Diceros bicornis minor: one gene and its partners. The protein of the gene in region 1 interacts with the protein of each later gene in a biochemical or structural test. Links are inferred from orthologs where the notes say so. Each region holds a gene or a part of one and is shown in the gene's direction. Other genes may lie near its edges.

Region 1 (8,737 bases):
ACCATAGAGGAGTTTATAAAGAACTTGGAAACTGATTCCTAGAATAAAATTAGACATTTGTTCAAGGAGTAAATAATCAATCACACAATTTGAAATAGAAAGGGTAAACATTACTGACGCTCGGGAAAAGAGAAAGGTGGATGTGGGTGGGAGAAGGCTGTCCAAGTTTCCCGGAAGAAACGGAATCTGATACCTGGGACAAGCCAGGGCCAGAAGGAGGTCATTCCAAACAGCTGGAGTCATGGAAACCGTCTGTCACTCCGTCTTTCAGAGTTTCTTTTCCTGGAATAGAGTCCTTCCTGGTCTCTACATTCTGCACTTTAGTTGTAAATGAAAGGCACAGGGTTTCTGGTGTTGATTTCCCAGTCCAACAAAGGAGGGAAGGGGGAAGAGGAGGGGGCGCTGAAAGGCGTTTTCACCGGCTCATCGACTCGCCAAGGAAATGGCGAGTAAAGCTGACCTTCTTCCTCAAACGACTTCCTAAAGTTTCCAAGCCTGATGAAGGAAATTTGAAAAAGCCAGTTCTCCCCCAAAAATGTGCCAGCGAGGGAGGGAAGGGAAAGGTAGCCGATAGGATGAGTAAAAGGTAAGGAAAAGAGGAGAAAACCCAAGTTGAGAAAGGTGAGGAACCCCACCTCGAAGCTGTCTATAATCTGGCGGCGTTAACTGCAGTCAGCCGCTTCTCAGGCTGATTAAATTGAGACTACCCGAAGGCACTTTATGTACGAGAAGGTTTCACAAATGCCCCCAAATGACTGTAATCACAGCTCGAAATGGGCGATTCGCGTCCACCAGCCACAAGGCGCTAGTGCGATCGATTCTAAGAGGTGACAGAAAAAAAAAAACAGACAGCAAAGCCTGACCCAGACAAAGGAACGGCTTTCAGCGGTGGGAGACGCAAAACACTGTGGGAGGAGAAGTAGGACTGAGGCATTTTTAGTTAGGCGTGATTTTAGACCAGAGTTTAAGCACCGCCCTTTCCATTTTTCGCGAAAACGTGGGCAGGGCTTCGGGTCTGTGACTCCACTGGGCGGATACAGCTGGCAAGCGCAGTTCTCAAACAGGTCCGACACAACACTATATAAACCACTGCCGCGGAGGGTTGGCGGATTGCATCTGCTCGAGTCGCAGGCATGTCTGGCCGTGGCAAAGGCGGGAAGGGTCTGGGCAAAGGCGGCGCCAAGCGCCACCGCAAGGTCCTGCGCGACAACATCCAGGGCATCACCAAGCCCGCCATTCGGCGCCTGGCCCGGCGTGGCGGCGTCAAGCGCATCTCCGGCCTCATCTACGAGGAGACCCGCGGGGTGCTCAAGGTCTTCCTGGAGAACGTGATCCGGGACGCCGTCACCTACACCGAGCACGCCAAGCGCAAGACGGTCACCGCCATGGACGTGGTCTACGCGCTCAAGCGCCAGGGCCGCACCCTCTACGGTTTCGGCGGCTAGATTTGTCTTAATACGTTATTCCATCACTCAAAGGTCCTTCTCAGGGCCACCCACAAAATCTGTTAAAGAGCTGTAGGCATCTTTCAGTAGCACTGTATGCTAAGCAGCTGCAAGCGTCAGATTAGTTTTTTGGGAAATGTAGCATCTTGAACAGTAAGGTCCCTAAAACATTCCTAGCTGCTTTGGTAGCCGCCTCCCCCCCATCAGCATCTCCATCACCTAGTAAAATGGCAGATCATCCGGCCATTATTAAATAGGCGCTACCTGTTACAACAAAGATTGAAAGTCGGACTCATCTATTTACTGTCTACTGCATTCGCACTACAATGGCAAAGACAGTAAACTGACCTTTAAAGAGTTGGCTGACCTTTGTTTTAACGAGCTCGTTGATTCCTAAGCACGGTGAAGTTTGAGAACACTGGCATAGCCCATAGTGGCTAGAATTTCAAACCCCGCTTCAGTACTTAACATTTAACGTATTCTCGGTTCCCTTTCATGTTATTCAGTAAAGATTTTTTGCCAAGGATGCAATCATGAAGCCTTTTACTTAAAATAGTGCAAGGTACTTTCGCATTCTGAAGACAACATTTTCTTGAGAATTTTGATGCATCCTAGAGGCTTTTTAAAAAGCCAGTAAGACATTTTCTCTGTACATTATCTTAAAAACTGAAGGAGAGGCGGGAAAACACTTCCTTTCCTTAGCGAATTAAACCAAGAGCCAATTCTGAGGGCGAGGCGGGGCGGGGCAGCAGTCTGCTGTCGAATCAGAACGCGAGGGTCGTTATAAATACTGGGACGACTGCTTCTTGCTCTCATTAGTGTTAAGTAGTTGGCTCTGCTTAGCTATGGCTCGCACCAAGCAGACAGCTCGCAAGTCCACCGGCGGCAAGGCGCCCCGCAAGCAGCTGGCTACCAAGGCGGCCCGCAAGAGCGCGCCGGCCACCGGCGGCGTGAAGAAGCCCCACCGCTACCGGCCCGGCACGGTGGCGCTGCGCGAGATCCGCCGCTACCAGAAGTCCACCGAGCTGCTGATCCGCAAGCTGCCCTTCCAGCGCCTGGTGCGCGAGATCGCGCAGGACTTCAAGACCGACCTGCGCTTCCAGAGCTCGGCCGTGATGGCGCTGCAGGAGGCGTGCGAGGCCTACCTGGTGGGGCTCTTCGAGGACACCAACCTGTGCGCCATCCACGCCAAGCGCGTCACCATCATGCCCAAGGACATCCAACTCGCGCGCCGCATCCGCGGGGAAAGAGCTTAAACTTGCTAGTGTTCCACCTGACATACTCTACCCCAAAGGGAACTCTACCCCAAAAGGCTCTTTTCAGAGCCCCTCCGTTGTCACCAAAAGGGAGCTGTTCTACAGAATATATGGTAGCACTATATGAAAAGAGTGCAGAGCGTTTCGACGAAATAGTTATTGTGGGCTCAGTTGGGAGATTGGTCTACAGGCTGGAGAGGTGACTGTGTATTCTGTAAACCCAACAACTTGATTCCACGGGAACACCTTGCTTGTACTCTGCGCAGTGAGGAGCTGTTTCTGGATAGGCATTCTTAAAATGATACAAGCATTTCAGAAACACCCTTGGCTACATGTAGTAACCGAAGCAAGACTGGCTTATGCCTTAGAAAAGTTTAGTTCAAATTACTGTGGATAGTTGTGCAAATGGCAAATACAGCTTAATTTTGCCAAGGATTCCTGGGATGACCTAAGAAATATGCCTCTTAATTTGCTTTCCTGTGACACGAAGGAATAGAACAAGTATCGTCATGAGTGTTTAGAAACTTGCTAGCTTTTCTGTTGCTCTTTTGTAATGTTTAACAAAGGCATATGTTAGGGGCTTTGCATGTATGTGATTATGTGTGGAAAACAGTGGGCCCACAAAGGCCTGGACACTTTGACTTGCAGGCTGTCATCTGTAAAATGAGCTCCCAATAGCTGTAAAAATCTAAAAAAAAATTTGCTCAAGTATTTTCAAAATCTGCCTGTCAGTCTATAAATTGGATGTTCATGTTTTGTTTTGTTTTTCCAAATAGAGAATCAGACTGGAAATTAAAGGTGAGATGTCATTTTGAAGTTGTTCCTTGTTTCCAAACTTGACTCCTTATTAATGTTGTCCAATGTTTTCAGCTTTTTAAAAAGTCTCCTCATGTACGACTATCATTGCCTTATTTTTCTGTTTACGCTTTTGGGTACACATCCTAACTCCAGGAGCTAGCGGAGTTAAGTGAAGGCAATTTTTCTCCTGAGTGTTCGAAGGCAGGTCAGCCATCTGAGCCTTCCTTTCTTTCCCCTATTTTTGTATTTGCCCTTCCAGAGAGGCTTATATTTCATCACTGGCTCCTTCTAAAGCTTTTTGGAATTGATTCAGCAAAAACGGTTCTGATCCATGGAGCCAGAAGCCTCTCCCTACAGATTAATTTAGCGCTCCTTTTTTGGCTTCCTGCTAGGTGTAAGGACGATTTGATGCTGCCTCTTCCAAACTTCAAAGATTATTCTCTCTCTGCACCCCTTCCAGGATCTCCCCATCATAATGGAGATGAAGCCAAGTGGTCTAGGTTCAAACTCAGAGCTGCCAAGTACTAGCTGTATAATTTTTGGTAAATTACTCATCCTCTTTCTGGGACTCAGCTTGTCCAGCTGTATGATGTGACAAATTAAAACCTGTAGAGTATCTTAGATTAGTTCCTGGTACTTAGTAAATGCTCAATGAATATTAGCTCTTAAAGTTATCACCCTCTCCTGCTGCTTAAACATGGAAGGTTTTTTCCTCTGGATCTTCTGAAAGTTTTGTGATAAAAACAGTGGAAATGCTTGTTCAGAACATTTTCCTGTTAAAATCTTTTCTTTTAGTTCTCGATTTGCATTGTTCTGAAAGAGGCAAGCTTGTAGCAATATACCATGAACTGCGTCTATGTGGAGGAGTTCAAAACACAGCAAAAGGGCCAGAGAGTTAGTAAATAGTTTATTTAGGTTTTGCAGGAGACATATGGTCTTCATCGCATTTTTCTTTTCTAACACAATTTTAATTTTTTATTTTATTTTTTTATTTTTTCCCCCAAAGCCCCAGTAGATAGTTCTATGTCATAGTCGCACATCCTTCTAGTTGCTGTATGTGGGACGCGGCCCAGCATGGCGGCACAAGCGGTGCGTCGGTGCGCGCCCAGGATCCGAACCGGGCTGCCAGTAGCGGAGTGGGTGCGCTTAAAGGGTAAGCCACGGGGCCGGCCCCTAACACAATTTTAAAATATAAAAACCACTCTTAGCCTGAGGGCCATACAAAAACAAGTCATTGTCCAGATTTGGCCATAGTTGACTGAATTTTCAAATCCAAGAGCTCCTGGAGAGAAGATGAAGTGTGTTGGCTAACACAGTTTTTCACAGGGAAGCATTGACTGTTGACTGCATTAGAGATCATAACCATTACCTGATCTCTTACCATCCAGGCACAAAATCCTGTCCATTCTCCACCCCACCCTCAAATAAATAGCAAACCTCACTCTCCATTCCAACTCATGGTCATTGCCTGAACTCCTTTGGATGTTAATATTTTCCTGAATTCTTCAGAACCTCTATAACCTCCTGTCCCTCAATACCCAATCTACCCTTCTTATAGTCAAGTAGCCAATTATTTTTCTAAAATACACGTCTATCTTCACTTAAACACACAAAAAATACCCACATTGATGTCTTCTGGCTGCTTACAAAAGAGGGTATTCCTGAGGATGCAATTTGGTAAATGTTGATGGAGGTAAGGAGTTTGAGTGAGAGCATTGGGAAGAGCACCTCGAAAACCTGACCAAGTCCCATTCATCTAAACAGTTTGTGCTCCTGAGGGCTACTGGAAGCAGGTTTCAGAGATTTTTCTAAAGGACATTATCTGGGCTAAGCATTTTCCGTCCTTATTTTAATGGGTTCACTTAGGAATCAAAGAGAGAAAGCATCTCAATAAAAAATGTACCAAATTTAAGTTTGAATTTGAATCCAAGTCGACGGATCCTGAAGCCAAAGCAATTTCTATTCCTCTTGGAGCAAGGTGGAAGAAGTCACTCTGGCAATTGAACTTTTCCAAGCTGCAAAATACCATTCTCTAAAGGCATTGGCATGTGGAAACTCCTAGGAGGCAGAACCGGTTTTTAAAGTAAGGTCCATGTGCTTAATTTGGGGCTGTAGGCAACCAGCCACCCTACGCCTGTGTTACTTGCTACAGTTTGAAACAAAGTTTATGTCCAAACCAAGGAACCTAGTGTCTTTCCTCCTGCAAAAATCAAAGGCTGAATTTAGGAACAAATCTTTTTAAAAAACGTTAACTTGATACTTAGTAAAAATTTATTGCAACATGCAACTAAGTAGCAGGATGATTTAAGCCGGGTGGATTCATATGAAAAGCCTAAGGGATTTTTAAATATATCTTTCATCAATTGTGCGTGATTTATGAAAACACAAACAAATACGTAAACCCGAAGGCTGTTTTCCTCTCTTGGAGCATCAAAGCGTCAAATTCTGTACTATTGTTTTCAGCATTTAATCAAATTTTGGGGACTAACAAACACAATTTGAGAGTCCAACCGGGAGAGGCGGCTGCCCGAGGGAGGTGGATTGGACGCTCCACCAATCAGAGGGCAGCACCGGCTTATATAAGCCCCGGGCCCCAGCAAGACAGCATTGCAAACCTTGCTCTTTGCATTTTGAGTTTCTCTTTCTTTAGTAGGTACTTTCATCACTATGTCGGAAACCGCTCCTGCTGAGACGGCTGCCCCGGCGCCAGTGGAGAAGTCTCCTGCCAAGAAGAAGGCAACCAAGAAGTCCGGGAGCGGTGGCGCGGCTAAGCGCAAGGCTACCGGGCCCCCAGTCTCTGAGCTGATCACTAAGGCTGTGGCTGCTTCTAAAGAACGCAATGGCCTGTCTTTGGCTGCACTCAAGAAGGCGCTCGCGGCTGGTGGCTACGACGTTGAGAAGAACAACAGCCGCATCAAGTTGGGTCTCAGGAGCCTGGTGAGCAAGGGCACTCTGGTGCAGACCAAGGGTACCGGTGCTTCGGGGTCCTTTAAGCTCAACAAAAAAGCGGCTTCTGGTGAAGCTAAGCCCAAGGCTAAGAAGGCGGGGGCAGCCAAAGGCAAGAAGCCTGCAGGGGCCACTCCTAAAAAGCCCAAGAAGACTGCGGGAGCGAAGAAAGCCGTGAAGAAGACTCCCAAGAAGGCCAAGAAGCCCGCGGCCGCTGGCGTCAAAAAAGTGGCCAAGAGTCCCAAGAAGGCCAAAGCTGCCGCCAAGCCGAAGAAGGCTGCCAAGAGCCCCGCCAAGCCCAAGGCAGTGAAGCCGAAGGCGGCCAAACCCAAAGCCACCAAGCCCAAGGCAGCAAAGCCCAAAGCTGCGAAGGCGAAGAAGGCAGCTCCCAAAAAGAAGTAGGTAGTCGGCGTTTAAAAACGACAGAACCCCAAAGGCTCTTTTCAGAGCCACCCAGAGATCTCCGAAAATGGCTGTGCACTGAATAACTTACCATCATTGTTGCCTTCCCGACCAACCTCCATGAGAGCCGTGCAACAGTATATTTACTAAAGTCTTGTTTACGTTTTCAGCTTTTCTGTTTAAAACTTTAAAGCGAAACCGTCAAGTTACAGTTAATGTCATACTCAGCAAAGCTTACTAAAGCAAGGGGAGTTAAGGGCCCCTACGTGTGCCACCACCCTGTAAAAAAACTCCGGGGAATCGTATCTTGAATAGATGGCTCAGCATCGGCTTTTCGGAGCTTTTGATTCTGGTTGCTTACTTACGACAAGGAAGGGGTTAGAATTTTAAAAAGCCCGCGCACGTTCCGATTGGTCAATTCTTTTTACTCGCTCGACGGGAAGTTTAATTCCGGTTCACGCGCCACCTACATGCCAGTTAGTACACTACTTTATTTGATCGATTGGCAGTATAGGCAGCATTCACAAGCCACAGACCTAACCAGAAGAGAAGAGGAGCAAGTTCAGGATCGTACATGCGTGGTGTCATTCATTTAAGATTTTAAAAGTATATTTACATAGACTAAAGTAATATGAAGTTCACACAAATAGCAAGCTCAACAAAACATGACTTACTGCTTATGGTCATATTTTTACTTGACTCTCAAAATCTATTGCAGAAATCAAGATAAGGCAAAACCTCCAAATACAGTATAACATTGGGTGAGACAAAGTTGACAGAAATTAGCTCAGAAAGGATGTATTGTCTTCAGGGGCCATTTTAGCAACGTTTACTCATTTCAGTAACTGATACTGTACTTTTATATGCCCACTAAAGCTCCTGACTTTTTCTTGACACCCCAGGGACATGACTAGGAGAGATCCAAGAATGTTAATATGGCATTTAAAATCTGAACCTGAAAAATCACTTCCTAAAACTGCTTGCCAGATTCGTTCTAAATGAAACTGTTTCCTTTTCTCAGTCGACAGTGACGAGATTAAGTGAAACTATTGTCCAAGCTCTTCCACGGAAATAGTAGGTGGCTCTGAAAAGAGCCTTTGGGTTGGAAGAAGTTGATATTGAGGGCTTACTTGCCCTTGGCCTTGTGATGGCTCTCGGTCTTCTTGGGCAGCAGCACAGCCTGGATGTTGGGCAGGACGCCGCCCTGCGCGATGGTGACTTTGCCCAGCAGCTTGTTGAGCTCCTCGTCGTTGCGGATGGCCAGCTGCAGGTGGCGCGGGATGATGCGCGTCTTCTTGTTGTCGCGGGCCGCGTTGCCCGCCAGCTCCAGGATCTCGGCCGTCAGGTACTCCAGCACCGCCGCCAGGTACACCGGCGCGCCGGCCCCCACCCGCTCGGCATAGTTGCCCTTGCGGAGCAGGCGGTGCACGCGGCCCACGGGGAACTGCAGCCCGGCCCGCGAAGAGCGGGTCTTGGCCTTGGCGCGAGCCTTGCCGCCCTGCTTGCCTCGTCCAGACATAACTGGAAGATAATGACCAGAGAGAGTAAGATCTGAAATCAGCCAGAGCTGGACAGCTTATAGTCGTTACTGAGCGCGAAAAGGAAGCCGTGTCATTGGCTAAAATTAAAGTCACACTTAAACCAATGGAATAGTGGTTTTGAAATACGGTTATTTTGATTGGGCACTGTATGACGTCATTCAAAATTCACCACCAATCAGACATGATTTTATTAATCATCTTATTTGCATAAGAAACTGTAAATAAACGGGGATACCTACGACCCCACACTCATTCTTCCTTACTTTTCAGTGTCTTTGGCAGTTGATCTTCGTCATGCCGGACCCGGCCAAGTCTGCTCCGGCCCCGAAGAAGGGCTCTAAGAAGGCGG
Region 2 (10,393 bases), on another chromosome or scaffold:
TGAGGGTGATTTGGCTTCCTGGGGAGGCTCCGATGCCAACCTCTGCCTCTGCCCACCGCAGGCTGCTGGGCATTGGGGAGGAGATGTGTCTTTGCCAAGGGAGCTCACAGTCTGGGGGAGACGTACATGAACAGACCAGTTGCCTGTTTCTAGTGCTGGGCCCTCTGCACCCAACATTTCAATCTACCCTCAGAGCAGCCCCAAGGGGTGAGGATTTTACACATGAGGACATTGAAGCTCAGAGAGGGCTGGCACTTGCTCAAGGTCACACAGCCAGTTAGCATGTTCTCCCCACTCTGGCACCTCTGTACCATGTGGTCGGTGCCTCAGGAGAGGCCCTGAACAGCCCAGGTTGGGGGTGGGGTAGAGTTGAGGGGCGGGCTCATGGAAGCAGAGAACCTCCTTGGTTAGGGGCAGGCATCTGGGAGGCTCCCTGGAGGAGGGCCTTGTTAGATGGCTAAGAGCTTGAGGGAATGGCATTCCAGGAGCAAAGCACAGCCGGAGCAGAGGCGGGGGCGTTGATGAGCAGCATGGGGGAGGAGGGGGCATGGTGGTGGGTTGGCAGGTGTGTCCTGGTGCTGCAGGGCCTTTTATACCCCCCGAGGACCTGGGATGGAGAGTGCTGGCTGTGAGGGCACCTTACTCAGGTTCTGCTGGTCCAACTGGCTCAACCACTTCTCTCCAGGCACTGCCCACTGCCCCTGTTCACAACCCTGCCAACAGTTATTGGCAAACCCTGGGTAAAGTCTGGGTCAGGAGCCTAGGATCCCCCATCCCGGTCCCAGAACAAAATGATTAAGGGGTCCCAGCCCCAGACTGCTCTGCCATGTCCTGATAGCCACCTCCTTCAGAAAGCCTGCCCTGACTGAACCCTCCACCAAAACAATTTCTAAAATACAGTGACAGTGTGGGGGTAAGTCTATCTGGGGAGATGAAATTATCCGTGCAATTATGGGAGCTTTCTACTTTCCTCTGTAAATTTGTCTTTATTTTCCTTATTTGCTGTGTTTTTCATCACAACACCCAATGTGTGTCATTACTGTTCTAGGTTTCTGTGACTCTCCCTTCCCATCCCTGATCCAGCCCCCTGTCCTCACGGTCTTCTCAGAGGTTCCCAGATGGGGGGCAGGCTGCGGTACCTTGGATGACTCCCACACCAAAGAACTCAGTAGAGCCATCCATGAAATGGGCGTGCTCAAGTCTCCCTGACTTTTCTGGACACAACCAGCAGCAGGGAAGGGCGAAGAGGAGAAGGCACCACTTGGCCCCCAGGCGGAACCAGCAGCGCATCTGCACCGTCCAGACAGCTTCCCGACACGGGAATAGAGCCGGGTCTCTTATAGCCGGGCTTGCGTCACGTGGCTGCGCGGGCGCCTCCGCTCCCGGCTCAGAAAGGTTTCCCTGGGGCGGGGCGGGGCCACACGCCCCTCGGTACCGGAACGCCGGAGACGTGCCTGCGGGGGCGTGTGCGCGAGGCCGCCGTGGGCGGGGCGGGGCGCGGCGCGGCGCGTCTGCCGGGGTGGGGAGCGGGGCGTGTGTGCGGCACGGTGGACTGTGGTGTGCCTGCTGTCCTTCGTACCCTCCTCACCTCGAGGTGCTGCCCTCCAGCTCGGGGTCGCCCCTTCCGCCCCTTCCCCCTGTTTCCCACGGGCCAAGCTGCGCTCGGTGAGCTGCCCGCTGCGGAGGGAGACTGAGGCATGGGCAGGCGAGAGGGCTGGTGAGGCCCGCGGCTCTCCCTGCCCTCTGGGTGACTGAGACTCTCGGACTCCCCCAGGTGTCAGAGCCTGTGTGAGACCTGGCAGATCAGAGCAGAGGGGGTGCTCTTGCGTGTGGGGGATTAGGGAGGGGGAGGTAGTGATGGGAGGGGCTCCCCTGGGTGTCTGTGCCAGGAGATAGCTGTCGCTCTGTGCCTGCCTCTGACAACACCAACGCCCTCCCCTCCACACCCCTTTAGAGGGCAGTAGGGTCGAGGAGCCGGAAGAGGAGATTCAGATGAGGGGGTTGCGCGGTGGTCAGTGTAGGATGGGGGCAGTCCAGGGGCTGCATACCCCTGTGAGAACCCCAGGAAAGCCTTGCTCTCTGCACTCCCAGAAAGCACCTTCTCCTGTCTACCCCAAGTATTTCTCAGGTTTCACCCAAACACAAATATATTGAGGATAGAACTTTGGGACTATTAGCCCAGCCTCATCAACTCTGTGTGGCAGTTAACATCAACATAGATTGAGCTTTGCTCCTAGTACTTCACATACATGATCTCTTCCATCCTCTCAACCACCTACCAGACCAATGTTACTGTTATTGTCTCCATTCCACAGATGAGAAAGCTGAGGCACAGTTAAGTCACAGGTCCAGGGCACAGCCTGGGTGTGAACCTGGCCCCTCCAGCCCTACGTCACACTTTCCTACCATGTGGCACTGCCCCCAACGCCACTGCCCTCACTTACGCACTACCCAGTGCTGGAGGCTGAAATCCCTGCTCAGGACCACGTTGGTGGCCTGAGGCGTGCCTGCGGGTTTGGACCATATCCCAAATGCCCTTCTTACCTACACTATCCCCAACAGGACCCTCCCAAGCTCTGCCATACCCAGCAGTTGCCCAGGCGCACCATCCCTGCTGGCTTGGGCCTCCTGCTCCAGAAACATGAGCCCACTCTCCCTTGGCCAGGCCAGGGCTCTGGGTGTGATGGGCTGACACTGGCAGCCAAAGCTTCAGGGCCATGGATGGTGATACAGAGAAGCAAAAACAGAGAGGGAGCCAGAGGCAGAGAGGCCAGGACAAGGACCAACTCTCAGCAGGGATCAAGTAGGTGACCCGATCCTGCCCTCAGCTGGACAGGCCCCAGGGACAGAAGAAGGTCCAGGCCTTTTCCAGGTTGCTTGGCTGAGTGCTGGACTTCCTCTGGAGAGGTCTTGGGGCCCCCAGCTTTCATGGCCTCTGAGTAGGGTAGGAGCTGCAGGGGTCAGGCTGGCCCTCCTCTAGACAAACCCTCCAGGGAGCCCACAGAGGAACAGCCCTGGGTGGATGCTGAGAGTAGGAGTCTGGACACTGCCCAGTGCTACCCCTGATGGGCCCATTTCCTTGACTGCAAACCTGGAGGAGGAAGAAGGGAAAGTATCGCTTCTGCATGGCTGCTATAGGCTCAGCCCTGATTGGGGATTTATACCCCATGTCACAAAATGCCATTGAAGGTTTTTCCAAGGCTGACAGCCTGTGACTCTGCAAACGACCATACCCCTACCCCCTGGCCAGAGTGAGCTGAGCCCTCACCAGGTGTCCATGCTGGCTGAGGCTCCACGCACATCATCTCACCTAACCCTTACTCAATCCCCAGCATGGGTCTGTCATCAGCCCCTTTCACTCGTAAGGACTCAGGATCAGGGAGGTGTGGTTACCTGCCCAGGGTGATACAGTTAGCATGTGACACAGCCAAGGCTTGCTCCCAGGCTTCAGCAGGCCCTTCTAAGGTCAGTGCCAGGCAGGTTGTGGGAGCACAGAGGCAAGCTTATCTGGATCCTGCCCTGGCCCACCCAGGAGCAGTTCCAGCATGCAGAGTGGCTCTAGCTGAGCTTGGCCTGTACTCCCTGGACCCCACACAAGCCTATTCTGCCTGGAACCCCCGTCGCAGGGCCTGTCTCTGGAGGGAACCCCACTCACATCCCTCCTCTGCTCTTGCCACAGTGTGGCCTGCACAGCCTCAGCCCCTCTGCTCCTCTCTGAGTGTATCATGCTTCACCTTGGAGTCTCCAGAGGCAAAAGATTGGCTGAGGCCAATATGTGCTTGCAGCCTCTGAGCTCCTGAGCCTGCATAATCCTGAGGGCCGGAAAGTGCTTCCTGGTGTCTAACTTAAATCCTTCTTGCTCCTGCAACACCAGCCCTGCTCTAAAGCAGTGGTTTTCTGCAAGGGGTGATTTTGCCCCAAAGGGAACATTTGGCTGTGTCTGGAGACATTTTTATCTGTCACAACTTGAGGGAGGGGAGTGCTACTGGCATCTAGTGGGTAGAGGCCAAGGATGCTGCTAAACATCCGACAATACACAGGACAGCCCCCACAACAAAGAATGATCTGGCCCAAAGGTCAGTAGTGCTGAGATTGAGAAGTCCTGTTGTAAAACATGGGCTTTGGAGCCAGGCAGACCTCAGTTTGTATCCTGCCTCTGCCATTTACTAATTGTGTACCCTTGGGCAAGTGGCTTCACCTACCTTTGAGACTCAGTTTGCTCATCACCAAAAGTGGCACAAATAGTGGTCCTCACCTTACAGGGTCTTGAGGAATTATCAGATTGCACACTTCCAGTACCCAGCACAGGGCCTGGCACTGGGGAAACTCCCTCAGTGATAGCCATTATCCTTCTTTTCCACTTTTCAAGGTGAACCTCAGGGTGTGGGAGCCAAGTTCTAGTGACTGGACTTGGAGCTCCCCAAGGGTCAGCCCCCACTTACCCTCCCTCCAGCGGCCTCTGGCACAGCGTGGGCCTATTGTTGATGTTAAGGGAGAGGTTAGGTTGGCTACTGTGGACCTGGATGGAGGAATCAGAAAGGAAACTTGATCTCAGGTGGGCAAAGGTCACTTGAAGCTCACTTTGCTCACCCTTTCCTCCAGCCTAGCCCCAGGGAAGCCATGGTGTGGGGGTAGGGGTGGGACTAGGACACAAAACACACTAACGAATATAGTCCATTAGCTCAGAGAAATGCCATGGATTTCCAGCTGGGCATCAGGAAGGAGTAGCATTTGAGTGGACACAACCAAGACAGGTAGAGATGTGGGGGTGGGTGGGAAATGGCATTCAGGTCCAGGGAACAGCATGTTCAAAAGTCTGGTTGTGAGGAGTAAGGTCTAAGGCCTATTTCCCAAATGATAGTCCAGTGTGGCAAGAGGGCTCCAGCTTGGTGGAAAGAGCCTGCCCCATTGGGGTAGGGGACAGGCGTCAAGGCTGGGAATCTGGACATTAACCAGTTTTCAAACTAGGTCCTCCTTCCTGAGTGTAGGGTACCTGTGGTGGGAAGAATGATTATAGCTTTTCTCTTTCCAGCCCAGACACCCACCCCTCCTCACACTTGAAAAAGAATTTCAGGATCCACATCTCTGCCAGAGCTCTCCATCCATAGAGGTCTCACTGGACACCCCCTCCCACACACACACTGCAGCCCTATAACATACCTGGTCTGGGCCCTTCTCCCCGCCCATCTCCCACAACCCAGGGTCCTCCCTTCTGAACAATGTGGCACCCCTCTGCCCCCATCCACCCCCTCCCTTCTGCAGCCCCTCTGCCTCATCCATTCCCCCAGGAGCCCACTCTGTTGTAACAGTGGCCACCACCTGCTCCTTGAGAAGACCAAAGTCTTAGCCATGGCCTGTCTCTGCCATGGGCCCCTTGATCAACTCAGGCCTCCTCAGGGGTTGGTCCCCCATTTCCATCCCTTAGGCCTCAGCTGGGAAGAGCTGTCAGACTCTCCCCATCCCCTCTAGGTGGCCCCCCAGGAGGCCTGGGACCTGGAACCCCCTTCTTTGCCTCTGGAAAGTGACATTTCTTTGGAGTATGGAGCCATCGGCTTGGCTTTCTGAGCTTTGGGGGCAAGGGAGTGGACTCCCTGGGCCCCACTCCATCCCTAGACCTTAGGCCCAGAGGATACCCAGAAAATGAATGAATGAATGAATGAGTTATGTCTGACAACCAACTTCCAAGTCTGGAAAGGACGCCCAGGTGCCAGCCAGGGGCGATGGGGAACTCTGGAAAGTGGGGGCAGGACAGCGGAAGACTGGGGGATCCGGGTAGGGGCTGCTCCCAGAATCTCCTGACCAGCAGCGGCGGACCAGCGAGAACCTCCCGCCCTGGAGTCTTCCCAGCTCGTCTTCGGGGCAGGGGCGGGACCAGCCGGCCTGGCGGCAGGCACCGAGCCCGGCCAAGTCCGCATTCCAGCCAACAGGAAGAGAGAGAGCGAGGCCGGGCAAGGCAGACCAGCTGGCCGGTGGGGAGTCCCGGGCGTGGGCGTTGGAAGCTGGGGAACCCCCGCCAACACCTCCCTGGCCTCCGTGTGCGAGGAGTGGGGTGGGAGAGCGCCCCCCGCCGGGCCTCAGCGTCCTCCTCTGTAAAATGGGGCCCCTTCTGAGGGCTGGTGCGCGCGCTAATGGCGGGCGGGGGGCGAGATCTGCAGGGAAGGGCAGAGGCCCCGACCCTGAGTGACCCGAAACAGTGAAGCGGGGACACTGGACCCCCCGCTCCTGGCTGGTGGAGGAGGGGCCTTGGGGGGGCGGGCCCTCGTGGGGGCGGGTGCTGAGCGGGGAGGGGCCAGCCCGGCACCTGGGCGAGGTCCCGCCGCCCCGCCCCCTTGCACTTCCGTGTGCAGCGGCGCGGGAGCGGGAGGCGGCGGCGCCGGGATCCCCGAGCGACCCCCGGCATCCGCCCGCCGCGCCGAGGCCCGGGCGCACTTCACCGGCCGCCGGGCCCGTCCCGGTCGGGCCCGCACCGACCCCCGTCCGCGCGCGCGCCCCGGAACCGCGCCCGGAGCCGGACCCCAGCCGCCGCGACCACTGGCGCCTGGCCCTGCGCCGGGAGGTGAGTGAGAGCCGGGCCCGGACGTGAGATCGGGGCTACCCCGAGGGCGCGCCGCCCCCCCTTCCTCCTCTGCTCCGGTTCCCGTTTCCGAAACTGAGAAACTGAGTCGCGGCCAGCGAAAGTCCTACCGCGCGCCGAGACCCGCCGGTGCCTCCGTGCCCCTATTCGTCCGTCTGTCCCTCGGTTCAACGGTAGGGGCAGTGGCCCTCTCATCCGTCTGCTCCTGGCCCCTCTACCCGCCTGTGTGTCCTCAGCTCCTCCGAGGGTCCGCCCATCCCTCCAAATCTCTGGGCCCCTCTATCCGTCCATCTGTCCCCACCCCGTCTATGTTCCCCCGTCGCCTCTCCCTAGTCCCGATCTGTCTGTCCTTCGCCCTCCACGAGCCCGTCGCTCCACCCCCACCTCACGTCCCGCCGCCCCCTAGATCCTGTCCTCTCGGAGCCGCGCCCGGCCCACGCTCGCCGCCCCCTGCCTGTCCCGCCGCGTCTCCTTTTCTACCGCCGGGCCGAGGCCAGGCCGCCCGCCTGGCCTCACCTCCCGCCCCTGGGTCCCTGCCCGGCCCAGCCCGCGCGGCGCCGCCTCCTCGCTGGATCTCTTCTTTCAGTCTCGGTGTCTCTCTCGGTCTTTCTCTCCATCAGTCTCCGGGCTGGGCGTGGCTCCAGTCTCTACACTCCCTCTCCCGCCCCACCCCTACGCTCCTGTGAGCCCCCTCCCCTGGTGGCCCCTTCCTGGTCCCCTCTGTCCCTGGCCTCTCCGCAGTCCAGACGCCCCCCCCCCATGGGGGCCCAGCCAGGGGGACGGAAGGAGTGGAGGAGAACTGGGTGAAGAGGCAGGAGGTGGGCAACGTCGGAATTGCTGCGCTTCCCTAACTGCCTGCCCCATTTGGCCTTGTCAGGGAGGGGAGAGCGGCACTGAGACCCCTTTTCCTGTGGCCCCTACCTTGTGTGCATGGACGCTGTCTCCTTGTGCTGAGTCGCCGTATCTGGGCGTGTAGACATGTTGTGTCTCTGTCTCCTTGTGTGTTCTTTGTCACTGTGTCTGGGACTTGCCCCTGTGTGCCCTTTTTCACATGTGTGACTTGCCCGTGTGTATGTTCGTATGTCTGTCTGGGCGTCCTGAGGCTCTGTGTGCCCTTTACAATTATGTGTGTACTATGTCTTGCTGTGTTCTTTTGTCACCAGACTCCCCTCAATGTATCAGGGTGTGTGTATAAGTGTGTGTGTTTGGAAGATCCTCTGTTGCACACTGAGTATGTAATGGTGACCCACTGGCTGTGAGTACATTCAAGCTGTTAACTGTGGGACCTCGTGGTGTTAGGGTGCCAGCCCACCAGGCTCGTGTGTGTGTGTCTGTATGAGTGTGTGTATGTGTGTGCACTCACATGTTCTTCCTCTCCTGCTGCCACTGAACTGCTGTGACCAGGCTGACCTGGTCACTGAGGGAGAGGACTAGTCCCTTGGGTTTCCTCGTTCCTGCTGTGGACTGAGCTGGGGTGTGGTGGACAGGCCGGCAGAGGGCAGCTGTGTTGTGTGTGTGTGTGTGTGTTGTGGAGGTGTTTGGACAGCGGTACCTAGTTGTAGGTACAGGATTTGGTGTGTGATGGACTGTGGCTGGGGAGTGGATGACTGATGGGAGACTCACGGTCTGACTGTATGAAACTGCCGGTGTGTTCAGGGGAGTAACTGTGATTGTGGGAACCGAGAGTGCTTGTGCGTGGGTGTCAGTACAAGGAGGGGATGCAACAAGGTATGTGGTGCCTGTGCCCTGGGGTGCTGGGAGGGAAGGTGAGAGCCTCAGTGTGTGTGTGAGCGCTTGGGAGGCTGTGAGGGTATGGGTGTGCACTCAGCACACTCAAGCCCAGCCCTGGCTCCTGGGGAGACAGGGAGGCTTCCATCTCTCACGTTCCTCTTCTCCCCCAAATTGATAGACACTGGAGGGCAAGTCTTGGGGTTTGTAGCATTGTGACCAAGACCTGGGGCTCTGGACCCAGGAAAGACTTGGGCTCAAATACTTGCTCTGCCTATCGAGAGTAAGAGACCGGAGCGAGGCCTCTTTAAGGCTGTTCCTTTATCTGTAGAATGGAGAAAGTTGTTGTGAGGACTAGAGGTCCTATGTTGAAAGTCCTTTAGCACAGCGTTGGTCCAATGAGAGCTCAGCACATGCTAAGTCTTATTTGGTGACCACTCACCACCCCCCTCAACAGTGTAGTCCCGATTCTCCTGGGAGCTAGGGCTAATAAAAGCCCAGATAGTCCCCAACCCAATTTCCTGCCTGCGATGTCTCTTGCTCCCTCCCGTCCCCTTGACCAGACTGCTTGTAGGAGGGAAGATGGCTGACAGAGACCCCACCAACATCCAGCCCTGTTCAGCGCACATGACAACCCCCCACCCAGTCTCAGCAGCAGTGATGGGGGAGAGAGTCTTGAGGGGTGATTGATTTGGAGCTGTGACTGCGGACTGCAGGGCCCTGACACCGTTTAGCTGGCACAGCTAATTGGAGTTTAAATTAAAATTAGAGATAATTTAAAATACAGACAAAAAGATAAAGCCTGAGGGTGCCTCAGCTCCCAGGGAACGGTGATGGGGGTCTTCAGCTGGAGGAGGGGCTCACGTCTGGGGAGGGGACTCTTGTGGAGGCCTGGCCTGACCTGCAGAAAAAGTGCTCAGGCCTTTTAGCCAGGAGACCTGGGGCACCTTGCTGCCTTTGGTGCCCTTCCTTCCTTCCAGGATCTCTCTGGGCCTCAGTTTTTTCAGCTATATAATGGGTACATCTAGTAATGTGAGAATCACCTCAAATAGACGGTGCAAAACAAGGAACAAAAAAAAGTGTTTCTATTCATTTGGCACTCCCAATGTGAGGTCAGCACAGGAGCTGGCATGCCACATCATTGGAGCCTTGGAACCACCTGGGGAGATGTATTCTCCCCATTTTATTTATTTTTATTTTTGTTTGTTTGTTTATTTTGAGGAAGATTGGCCATGTGCTAACATCTGTTACCAATCTTCCTCTTTTTCCTTTTTCTTTTTTTCTCCCCAAAGCCCCAGTACATAGTTGTGTATCATAGTTGTAGAGTTGTAGCTCTTCTATATGGGATGTTGCCTCAGCATGGCTTGATGAATGGTGAGTAGGTCCGTGCCCAGGATCTGAACCTGTGAACCCTGGGCTGCCGAAGCAGAACGCATGAACTTAACTGCTACGCCACCGGGCTGGCCCCGTCCCCATTTTAAAGATGAGACAAACTGAGGCTCACAGGAGTTGCCCAGGCCACAAAGTGGTGGTACCCAGTTGTACTATAGGTCTCTCAAGCCCACAGGGCATTCTCCTGGAGACAGGAGGATTAGGAACAGCTTTCTTGCTGTGTCTGCAGTCCTCCCCACCAACCTGGAAAGAGGAGGAGGGCTGAGACACAATATTGCAACCCCTAGCATGGAGTGGACACATAGCCAGTGCCTGGAAAAGTTAGGCCCAACACCTCGTTTCACAGAAGAGAAAGCGAGTCCAAAGAGGCAAAGGTGTCAGAACCAGAAGAGGCTGAGCCGGGCCTGTGTCGGCCGTGCTGGGGCTCACTGATGGGGAAAGCCTGTTTGGTGGCGCCTCTCGGCTCAGCTCTTTTCTCTTGTTCCTGCAGGTCTGCCGGGAACTGGCCCAGATGAGGGTGGCAGGCCTACTTATCCTCATGGGTGTTGCGTGGTAGTGGTGGCAGCAGGAGCCAGAACTAAGGAGAAGACTGGGTCCTCTTAGACAGATGGACGGATGGACAATGTACAGGGGTGGCCTTCCTCTTTGGGCTCTTCCTTTTCTGTCCTGGGTCTGGGTCGAGTCGGGGGGACATGCAGA
Region 3 (10,466 bases), on another chromosome or scaffold:
ATTGTCCAGTGGGCTGGACACTGACTGGCCTAGGAATAAGACCCTCCACCATAGCTGTGATCTAAGGGCCAGTCGCTTATTCTCTGACTTAGAATGATGGGTTTTGGATCCAACGAATGTGAGATGATCCCTTGCAGTCCTATGAAATCAAGGCAATAGTCCTAAATTAATCCAAGGGAACCATTAGAGTCACCTATTTAGTCAACAGATGCCTAATATATATAAAACAGTGGATGAAACAAAGAGGTCTGATATGGCCTCTGCCCTTACAGGGAGGCAATCGTTACTGAGCATATAAAAACATGTAAAAAAGAATGAAGAGATACATGCTGGGAGAAAAGTAAATGTAATATCGTTCTGAGTTCAGAAGCAGAAGAAAACTCTTTCTCCTAGGAGATTCAAAAAACCTTTACGGAGGAGAGGGCATACATTGTTAATCAGGAAAAATCAGTGGATTTAGCTATGATTTTGAAGCTTGACTTGTCCATATCCTGGCTATGTGACAAATCTGCTAAAACTCTGAGTTTCAGGTTCCTCAGCTAGGAGCATCACAGAGTTTTTGGATGATCAACGGCACTTTTCATCTACTCCCACCTCTGACTCCACCAAACAGCTGACTGTAAAGTACAGTTGGGCACCAAGGCAAGACTTAAATTGTGCTTTCAAGTTTCTGCTCTGTACTGTACCCCATGTTACTCAGCTCCAGTCTTTAGAGTCTCAAGCTACTCAGCCTTCTGGAAAGACTACTCACTACACAAAGACTGCCTATTGTGCAGAGTAACCCTGGGAGTGGATTGTGGAAGAGAATCCTACTCCAACTTCCAGGACTAGCATGAGCCCTCTCTCATTCTCCATCACTTTCTCTCAGGCCTCCTCTTTTATTACTTGCACTTCCTCTTCTTCTTTCCCTTTTATCTGCCTCCATCTTCATGCCATCACTTAACTTTGCAAACTGAAAGTCCTTTGAGGACTAAAATGAGGCTTTGTAACCAAGTTCCCCTTGCTAGACTGCTATAATTAATCACAATAAATAGAGCCTCAGTGCTGAGGAGACGTTTTTGCATGAGAGCCAATTCAAGAAAAATTTAAATACATACAGACCACATTCTAAATATAACAGTTTTTCACTATCTTCTCAAGTACTAATTCTTTAACACTCTTACCTCTGTAAACCAATTTGCATGTCCCAACGCCCACACACATACACCTCTAAAGATTTAAAGATTCTTAAATTTCAAAAGGAAGAAAGCACAGCAAGAGATGGAGAGACAGTCTCCTTTGCTTGATACCTGGAGCCAACCATGCCTCAAGCTAGGTACTCCTTGGACTTGTCAGTTTTGGGAGCAAATAAATTTCCTTTGTTACGTAATCCAGTTGGAGTTGGGTTCTTATCACCTGCAACAAAAAGTCCTTATAATAGTTATGATGCTAATGAAGTTCTTTGTCCTCTTAACCAAAGTCACCCTGCCCATAAGAGATGAAAAAGGGAAGAAAATAAAGGGCTGATGGGAGAAGGAACTCTGTCTAATGTTATCATATTGTAATAATTTATCTTCATATCTGTAAGAATGTGAGCACCTTAAAAGCAGGTAACCCTAGGCACAGTGTGTAAAACATAGTTAAAGCTCAAAAAGTATTTATTGATTGAATAAACTTGATTTATTCACAATTTAAAAAAAAAAGATTTAAGGGCCAGCCCCTTGGCATAGCAGTTAAGTGCGCACACTCCGCTGCTGGCGGCCCGGGTTCGGATCCGGGGTGCGCACCAATGCACCGCTTGTCAGGCCATGCTGAGGCCACGTCCCATATAAAGTAGAGGACGATGGGCATGGATTTCGGCCTCAGGGCCAATCTTCCTCAGCAAAAAGAGGAGGATTGGCAAGGATGTTAGCTCAGGGCTGATCTTCCTCACACACCAAAAAAAAGATTTAAAGATTCTTTTGAAATCTATGTACTCTTACGTGTACATAGAACGTTCTTCAAGGATACCCAAGAACTCTTCAATACATTTTTGGTTGTGGAGGAGGACTTACTCTTTATGGTATAACCTCCTTGACTGTTAGATGTAGCATCTAAAACCTAAAAAAAAAAAACAGCAAAGCTACCATCAACAATTCAAGGAACAGAGGTAAGAGGTTAAAGTATATACCAGCTCTACAAATGGGACAGTCAGTGTATATGATTGAAGAAGTTATTTCACGATGTTTCTCTATATCCTGGGTCTTCTTTTTCAACTCCTGTTTCTATCTCCATTTTAGTGTGAATGTCCCTGATTTTCAGTCAACACAATCAACCACTCCCCATCTTTAACTTCATTTTTTTCAGTTACATATGTGCATAGTTTTAAGTTAGTTCTTTAAATCTTATAACAAAATCAGCACACCTCTGATCAGCAGCCCATTCCTGCTGTCCAAAAGGAACCATTTTCTATTCTTTTAACTGTGTGATTCACTGTTTACAGTCATAATTCTCAATAATGTCCTTATACTGCTATTTTTTGGTTATACAGTTTTAAAAATTACCCACTAACTTCTTACAATGGAAGATGAGGGTTTAGCTCTTTTATACCACCACCAGCACACATGTACACTCATATATATCCCTCTCTCTCCCCACTCTCTCAATACAGTTGAATCATAATTTTTGGTTAAATCAGTATTCAGTGTTTCCATTACTGTGACTGTATGATTTACCATAGTGCCCTATGTACCCTATTGTGATTACATTTCCCTTTTTTCTTTTAACAACTTTTAGTTTGCTCCAGATTTAATACTGCCTTGTTTATTTTCATTTGCCTAGTTTTTTTATGCCTATCACTAATTTATCTCCAACTCTACCAGAAGTGTAAATCTCTTCTCAGTACGCTCAAATACATCAGGTAATTTATCAACTTCATTGTTTCGCTTGGCGATGTCCCACTTAGAGCCAACCATCCCTGTCAATCTCCAGCGTGCACTGACTGCTCTCTATGCCTACTGAAAGGTGCCAGCCTAGGATCATCCAAGTCTTGACAATTTCCTTTGCCCCTCTTCTGTGTTGGAACTACTGTTTCTTAGATCCCACATCTTCCTCTTTTTTCATTTTCATCCTTGTTTTGGGAGACTACACACTCCAATAACTTCCTAAGAAAGGGTACACAGGAGATAATTTTTTAGACTTTGTAAATCTGAAAATGCCTTTATTCTACCTCATGGTTGTTTCGTGGTTTGGCTTGGTACAGAATTATAAACTGAAAATCATTTTCCCTCAGAATCTTCTAGCTTTCAACATTGCTGTTGAAAGTCCAATTCCTTTCTGATTCTGGATCCTTTGTATGCTGATTTTGTTTCCTTTTAGGGTCTTCCCATTATTCTTAATGTCATATGCCAGCACAGTGTGCCATGGGATGAGTCTTTTGTTCACTTATTGTGCAGGGCACTCAGACGCAGTTCGGAAAACTCATGTTGTTCACTTCTGGGAAGTTTTCTTATATTATTTCTTTAATAATCTCCTCCCTGCATTTTCTCTGGTCTTTTTTTCTGGAACTCCTATTAGTTGTATACCAGACCTTGTAGGATGATCCTCTAATTTTCTTATCTTTTCTATAGTCCATCTTTTCGCCTTTTTTCTGGGAAATTTCCTTGACTTTCTCTTCCAAACTTGCTATTGCATTTTTAATTTTTGCTATCATATTTTTAATTTCCTAAAGCTCTTTTTTTTTTTTTTTTGGTGAGGAACATCCACCCTGAGTTAACATCTGTTGCCAATCCTCCTCCATTTTGTATGTGGGTCGCCTCCACAGCATGGCTTGACAAGTGGCATAGGTCCACACCCCGGATCCAAACCCGTGAACCCAGGCCCCCAAAGTGGAGGGCACCGAACTTAACCACTATGCCACTGGGTCAGCCCCTCCTAGAGCTCTTTGTTAAACTTGCTTCTGGATGCATTCTTATCTTTTATTTCTCTGATGATATAGATGGTAACTTATTTTTATTTCTTAGCTTTCTACTTTTAGAATTGCCTGTTACCTTGGAGTTTCTTTTTATGTTTGTTTGTTTTGGTCTTTTTCTTTCAAGTTGGAGGATTTCCTCAAATGTCTGGTGCTCCCTAGATGGCTATTAATAGTTAAGAGTAAGACACTAAAATATTGATTAGAAGCTCTGTGTCAGTCTGTAAGCATGTCAAGTACTGAGCATCACTTTAAGAGTGACTCAGCCTTTTCACTGGACACTCTAACCATCAATATTTTTAAGACTTTTCTCTTGGGCTGGTCCATTCCACAGAGAAGCATGCTCTTGTCTCATTTAGGAGGATATAAATTCAGCTGCCTGCATTTAGGGGACTGAGTGGGCGAAGAGAACTGGAGGTTTCACCATTTGGTATGAAGAATTTTACTTCATCTGAACTCCAGAGTTCTTTTCGTTTGGCCTCTCCAGAACATAAAATAAACCTCCAGTCATCTGCCAGGACCAGGAAGAGGCTGCACTTTCACTGTGCGCAGATGTGCAGGAGGGAATCGACTAAGCCTCTTTCCAGCTCCACCGACACCAATTTCATAGGTTCCTGGTGCCTCCAATTCCTGAGACTCGATGGAGTCTATTGCATGAACCAGCTTGCTTCCTGGCTTTCCACCGCTAGCTTAGATTTCAACTTTCTTGGGCTGTCTGATACTTCTATTACGATTCTTCAATGTGCTTTCCTGCCTCCAAAATGTTGTCGGTATTGTCTCCTCACCCATCCTTGAGAGTTTTGCAGTTTTTTTTTAAATCCCTTTACTGTCTTCAGGAAAAAGAGAGAGAGAGAAATGTGCATATTCAATCTGCCATGTTAAACCACTATACCCTCTGTGAAACACTGCCTTCCCTTTTCTGAGACACCACTATTTGGTCTCCCACCTCTCTGGTGTTCTTGCCCAATTTTCTTAACTGGCTTCTCCTGCTCTGTACAATCTTTACATATGAAGGGCCCCAGGGGTTGCTCCTGGGCATCTACTCTTCTTTACAGTTCTCTAGATGACCTCATGTGTGTGAGGGTTTAAATACTATCTAGAGCAAAAGGAGGCTTTAGCTCTCACCCTGACCTCTGCCTAGTGAACCTCTCCTCTTGCATATCTCTAAGCATTCCAAAAGTAGCAGAATTTATCATTTCCTATCTAAACCTGCTACCCCCTAAAAGCTGCTCATCTCTTAGTCTTCTCTGTTTGTTACTCAAGCCAAAACTTCAGTCATCCTTGATTCCTTTTTCGCTCACTCCAAGCATGCAAACCATCAAGATCCAGCAAGTCTACCTCCAAAATATATCCAGAACCCATCCCTTTCTGTCTAGCACTACTAGTACCATCCAAGCCATCATCTTTTGCCTGGCCTCCCACAATAGCCTCTTAATGGCTCCCCTTGCTTCTCTCCTCCTGCTTCCCCTCCACCTCCCCACCTACACACATTCTCTCCACAATGACTAAGGTAATCTTTTTGCAAAACAGATTATGCCACACCTTGGCTTAAAACCCTGAACGTGGCTTCCACTGCACTTATGATACCCCAGACCCCTTAGCTTGGTCTACAAGGACTTATATAATATTACCCTCTCCAATCTCTTTAATCTCATCTCTACTCTCCCCTCTGCCCTATATTCAAGCCACACTGGCTTTTCTGAACATGACAAGCTCATTCCTATCATTGGGTTTTCACAGACTCCTTCCTCTATCCGAAATGTTCTCCTTGTCATTTAAGCCTCAATTTAAATGTCACCTTCTCAGACCATCCCTGACCACCAAGTCTAAGTTCGAAATTATTTTCAAATAAAAAGCTAAAACAAAAAGATTGGCTTTGGTAAACAATTTGAGAAGTAATCTGGCAGGTTAAGAACCTGACAATATTCTTGAGACAATTAGTGTTGTGGAAATATCACAGATCCGGAAAAAAAAAACAAACCTAAGTTTGGTCCCTGTGTTACTAATGTGTGATCTTGGGAAAGCCACCCAAAGCCTCTCCGAGCTTCAGTTCCTCCACCCGAGTGTTGGAATGATCAAACGAAAGAAGGTACATATATAAAAGCCTTTCCTCTGTAGTAAAGTGTGTAACAATAAGTAGGACTAGAGCCATAACACGTTCTCACTTTCACAAACTGCGGCTGCTCCACTGTCACTTTCCCGAGATACAAGGCCGTCCCCTTGGCTAGCTCGGGGGGCACACAAACTTGCCTCTCCAGGAGGCCCACACGCGCACCACTCGCCTATCCAGGTGCCAGCAGCAGCTGCGCGAGAGCGCAGGCGCAGAGCCAGGCCACGTGAGGGCCTGGCCAGGCTCCCCGGGGCCGCAGCCTCGCTCTGGCCCGGCCCCCTCTCGAACCACTTCGCGGGATCTCCATGGAAACGCATTCTCGCAGGAACCGGCAGCCGCCAATGGGAAGGGAGCGAGTGCCGCGAACAGCCCAATAAGGAGGGAGCGGCGCGGGGTTTAAACCTGAGGCCGGCCCGGCTCCTCCTGGCGTGCTGCGCAGGAACGGCTGTTGGTCGGTGGTGGGTTCAGGTTCCTGGCTCGTCGGGGGCTCCGTTGCTCTGCTTCTCCCCACTGAGCTGCTGCCTGGTGAAGAGGAAGCCATGGCGCTCCGGGTCACCAGGGTGAGCTGCTGCGGACGGTGAACAAACGCGGCCTTACTGGTGCGCTGCGTGTCCTCGCCCTATCTCGCCTTCCGGAGGCTCCCCCCCGCCCTCGGCAGGAGCGGACCCAGGCAGCGATCTGGGGAGGTGGAGGGGGGTCGGTGGGCCTCTGGCATGGTGGGGGAGTTTGGGGGACGTACGGACAGAGAGAGGAAGGTGAGAAAGAGAACTGGACGGGCCTTGGATAAATGTTGGGGAGGCAAGTGGAGGGTTGACGGGAAACCAGGGCCCCTGAGTGAGCTCCCACCGATTGCTTAACCCCCTTCCCGGAACGAAGGTGCCTGCAGTTGAAGGTTTTTCGGTTTTCTTTCAGATGTAAATTCGTGGTATTTTAGGGCCGGCGGGGACTAAACCTCGATGGGTGAAAGAAGAAGTTCTGGGAGGAAACTAACTTGTCACAGCCATAGCGTAGACCCTGGGACCCCGGTTTCCCTTGGACCCATTTGCAGCCGCCTTTCCTTCCGAGAGCCTCTCTCTTGTCCCACCTTAATTAACCCTTGACTCACTCTAACCTGGCTGGGCCAGCTCTCAAAGTGCTCTTGCTTCTTTCAGAACACGAAAATTAATACTGAAAACAAGGCGAAGGTCAGTATGGCAGGCGCAAAGCGCGTGCCTGTGGCAACTGCTGCAGCCTCCAAGCCCGGGCTGAGGCCAAGAACAGCTCTTGGAGACATAGGTAACAAAGTGAGTGAGCAGCCGCAGGCCAGACTGCCTCTGAAAAAGGTAACTATCTCCCGATTCAACTTACCTGAGTCCACCTTCTAACTGTGACTCTTGATGGAGGAACATTCCATTCTCTCCTTTTCATCCACAGGAAGCAAAAACTTTAACTGCTGGAAAAGTTATTGCTAAAAAACTACCAAAACCACTGGAAAAGGCGCCCGTGCCTGTGCCAGAGCCGGAGCCCGAGCCTGAGCCAGAACCCGAACCTGAGCCTGTTAAAGAAGAAAAACATTCTCCCGAGCCTATTTTGGTAAACTTATTGTGCCAGTTTAGAATCTGTTGATTGTTTGTTGCCCCTCGTTTTACTAATGCATGGAATAGCATTTAAATAAATACTAAAAATTGTAACATTTATCCAGTGCTTAGCAGGAGGTAGTTTCTGCTAAGGGCCTTACATGCATTGACATAATCTTATACTCTCTTACCTAGTATTATTACCTCTACTTTTTTTAGATAGTGGTTTAGAAAAGTATTAAGTATCTTTTCAAGGGTCACACATCTAATCAGTGGCACATATTGGATTCAAAACCTGGCTGTCTGGCCTCAGAACCTGTGCTTTTAATCGTTTTGTTCTATTGCCCCTCCTTCGTTAATGGTATTGAGTAGTAGCTGCCTGGACCAGTGATTTTGCTGTCTTTGGTACAAGCCATCACTGTCCAATATTTGTTGACTGAAACACAAATTATTCTCTTGAATCTTTTTTTCTCCCTAATATGACCACTGAATAATTAATAAGCCTGTAACATTGCAATATATAAAGATGTAAAGCAGAAAGAAAGTGTAGCTCTTCAGAGAACAGGTAAGAAGATGAGTTAATGTGTAGCCTCAAAAACTAAGAACTTTTTATTAACTATCAGGTATGTAAATATATCTACTCCTGTGAAGGAAAATCAGACCATCTAAAAGAGGCTACTTTGCTGAAGTTGCAGTGAACTACATTCTGAAGCTCTAATTTTAAAAACTTAGTTAAAACTTCTTGGGAAAATATCTGTAAAAGTCATTCAGCCTAGCTCCTTATATCTGAGGGTAGGAGATTTGAGGCTATTGCTTTAGTATTGACCTTCTGGACATAGCACATGAAACCTGTAGCATGCAGTCTTTAATTGGCCATACCAAACCACCTGAGGTTTCCTTGAAAGTCCCATACTGATTCTTGCCTTGGCTTTCCCACTTATTAAAAATGCCTTTCCCACCTTCTGTCTCTTTTAGCTAATAACCTTTGCATCCTGCAAAACAGCTCAAGCATCAATTCCTGAAACTCCCTAACTTCCCCCAACCCCACCCTTGTTCCTAGAATCAGTCTCCTTACTTCATTTACTTATTTCTTCTAAATTCAAAGCCCCTTGAGGACACCATAAAGCCAGTGCCTAGCACAGAGCTTGACTTGAAGAAAGTGTTCCATAAATGTTTGAACAATGGGGTGACTGGAGCTTGAAGAAAATGGTTAATGGTGATGAAGTCAGTTAATCCTTGGTAGAACTTATGTTCTCCTGAGCAGTGAGAAGCAGTCCATGTTTTCACAGAAAGTCTAAAGACTGACTTGTCATTCCTTTGGATTAACTTCACATGTTGCTGATAAACAGATTAACTACTTATCAGTTTCCTTTGGAGGAAAGTCTAGAATATGAATTTGCTTCTCTGTTTTACCTGTTAGTGTTTAGGTTCTGTTCTCTTCAAATTGGCTCAGTCTAAGTTGGCATTTCAGTTTTCATATTAATCACTTCCTAAAGAGAAATTGAATACATTTGAAAAGAAGATCCTTTTCCATTAAGGAAATGAATTACATGTCTGTTCAGCAGATGGTCTCTTGAGTTGGTACCAGTAATCTGACCTTCATGCCCAGATTGGATGCTCTTGCTATTATTTCAGAAGGTCTCTCTGTTTCAAGGTTGATACTCCCTCTCCAAGCCCAATGGAAACATCTGGATGTGCCCCTGCAGAAGAATATCTGTGTCAGGCTTTCTCTGATGTAATTCTTGCAGTGAATGATGTGGATGCAGAAGATGGAGCCGATCCAAACCTTTGTAGTGAATATGTGAAAGATATCTATGCTTATCTGAGACAACTTGAGGTCAGTATTATTAGTCTTTGTTTTTTCTAAAGTGCACCTAGCTTTATTAAAGATATTTCCATTAACAGTTTACAATAGTTCAAGGATGACGTGAGCAGCATTTCTTAACAGTAGATTTCACTTTCAAAATCTCCTTCATAGAATACCAAACATAAAAAGTTGCTAAACAGACCAATGAAGTCTTTATTTTCCATTTTGAACAGGGAGATTTCCAAGTGAGAGCAGATACTACTATGGCTCTTTGTAATGGAAAGTCCGCAGATTGAAGGATATATTTATATCCATCACAGTTAGGAGCCAGCAAGTCCCAAACATTGGGTTTAAGAAGGCTAACAGGCAGGAGGTGGATGGTAGTGCAGAAGATGCTGAAAAATTACAGCCAACCCCAACACATGGCATTTTGAGTGAATGTGGCTGATGGGTGTGCCATATCAGGGAAATTGTTGTTTGTGTCCAAGAGGAATTTTCTTCCATTTCATCCCACTTCTGAAACTTTCTATTAGTGGCATTTGCCCTTTCCCCCCAAAACTAAGGAAGCATTCTGTATGCTAACAACATGAGCTATACAGTTACTAAATTGACCCAATTGTTGGTTTATAATGCATTCTCTTCTCTTGGCATCATTAACATCTTCAGTTTCTTGCCTGGTTCTTTTGGGGATCTCCATTTTCTACAGGATTGTCCTGCAAGAAGACTTCTTTGCCAGGACCTGCTTTGGGTTTCTTCTCCCTTTTTAAAGTTTGTGTTCTAACTGTGGAGGAGTGGGCTTAGCAGATGTATGTGCTGGTCCTTGATGGTTCATTCTTCTCTATCTGTGGTGTTTTTGGGGTTTAAACCCTGGAGCAGGAGAGTGGTAACACATTAGGTTCCAGCTGATCTGGGAGCTGCTGCTATTTTCTCTACTTCATAAAGCTCAGGTTCTGGGTTTAGAGTCTTAAGTGAAAAGATCTGAGATGATAGTATGGCATCTTTATTTGGGAAGAAGTGAGTGCGGCGTGTGGGCCAGTAGCAGTGATGGTTAATTGAACATAGATT

Evidence for each region.
Region 2: of the proteins of H1-5 (region 1) and PRKCD, one has a biochemical effect on the other in vitro, tested with the Homo sapiens proteins (2 studies listed by BioGRID). The link is inferred for Diceros bicornis minor from reciprocal best matches to the Homo sapiens genes H1-5 and PRKCD.
Region 3: of the proteins of H1-5 (region 1) and CCNB1, one has a biochemical effect on the other in vitro, tested with the Homo sapiens proteins (2 studies listed by BioGRID). The link is inferred for Diceros bicornis minor from reciprocal best matches to the Homo sapiens genes H1-5 and CCNB1.

Annotation. Positions count from the first base shown.
Region 1 is NC_080753.1:39,364,379-39,373,115, forward strand, and holds H1-5 (histone H1.5), read left to right. Parts: upstream 1-6,136; 5' UTR 6,137-6,166; coding exon 6,167-6,847; 3' UTR 6,848-6,906; downstream 6,907-8,737. Other genes in the region: uncharacterized protein LOC131413346, read left to right, coding at 1,134-1,440, 2,181-2,619, 2,840-2,842; histone H2A type 1, read right to left, coding at 7,974-8,366; histone H2B type 1-O, read left to right, coding at 8,683-8,737. UniProt on the Homo sapiens protein: Histone H1 protein binds to linker DNA between nucleosomes forming the macromolecular structure known as the chromatin fiber. Histones H1 are necessary for the condensation of nucleosome chains into higher-order structured fibers.
Region 2 is NC_080741.1:53,718,878-53,729,270, forward strand, and holds the start of PRKCD (protein kinase C delta type), read left to right. Parts: upstream 1-6,392; 5' UTR 6,393-6,556; intron 6,557-10,393.
Region 3 is NC_080759.1:8,348,708-8,359,173, reverse strand, and holds the start of CCNB1 (G2/mitotic-specific cyclin-B1), read left to right. Parts: upstream 1-6,465; 5' UTR 6,466-6,577; coding exon 6,578-6,598; exon of another isoform or gene 6,599-6,637; intron 6,638-7,189; coding exon 7,190-7,360; intron 7,361-7,451; coding exon 7,452-7,610; intron 7,611-9,248; coding exon 9,249-9,431; intron 9,432-10,466. UniProt on the Homo sapiens protein: Essential for the control of the cell cycle at the G2/M (mitosis) transition.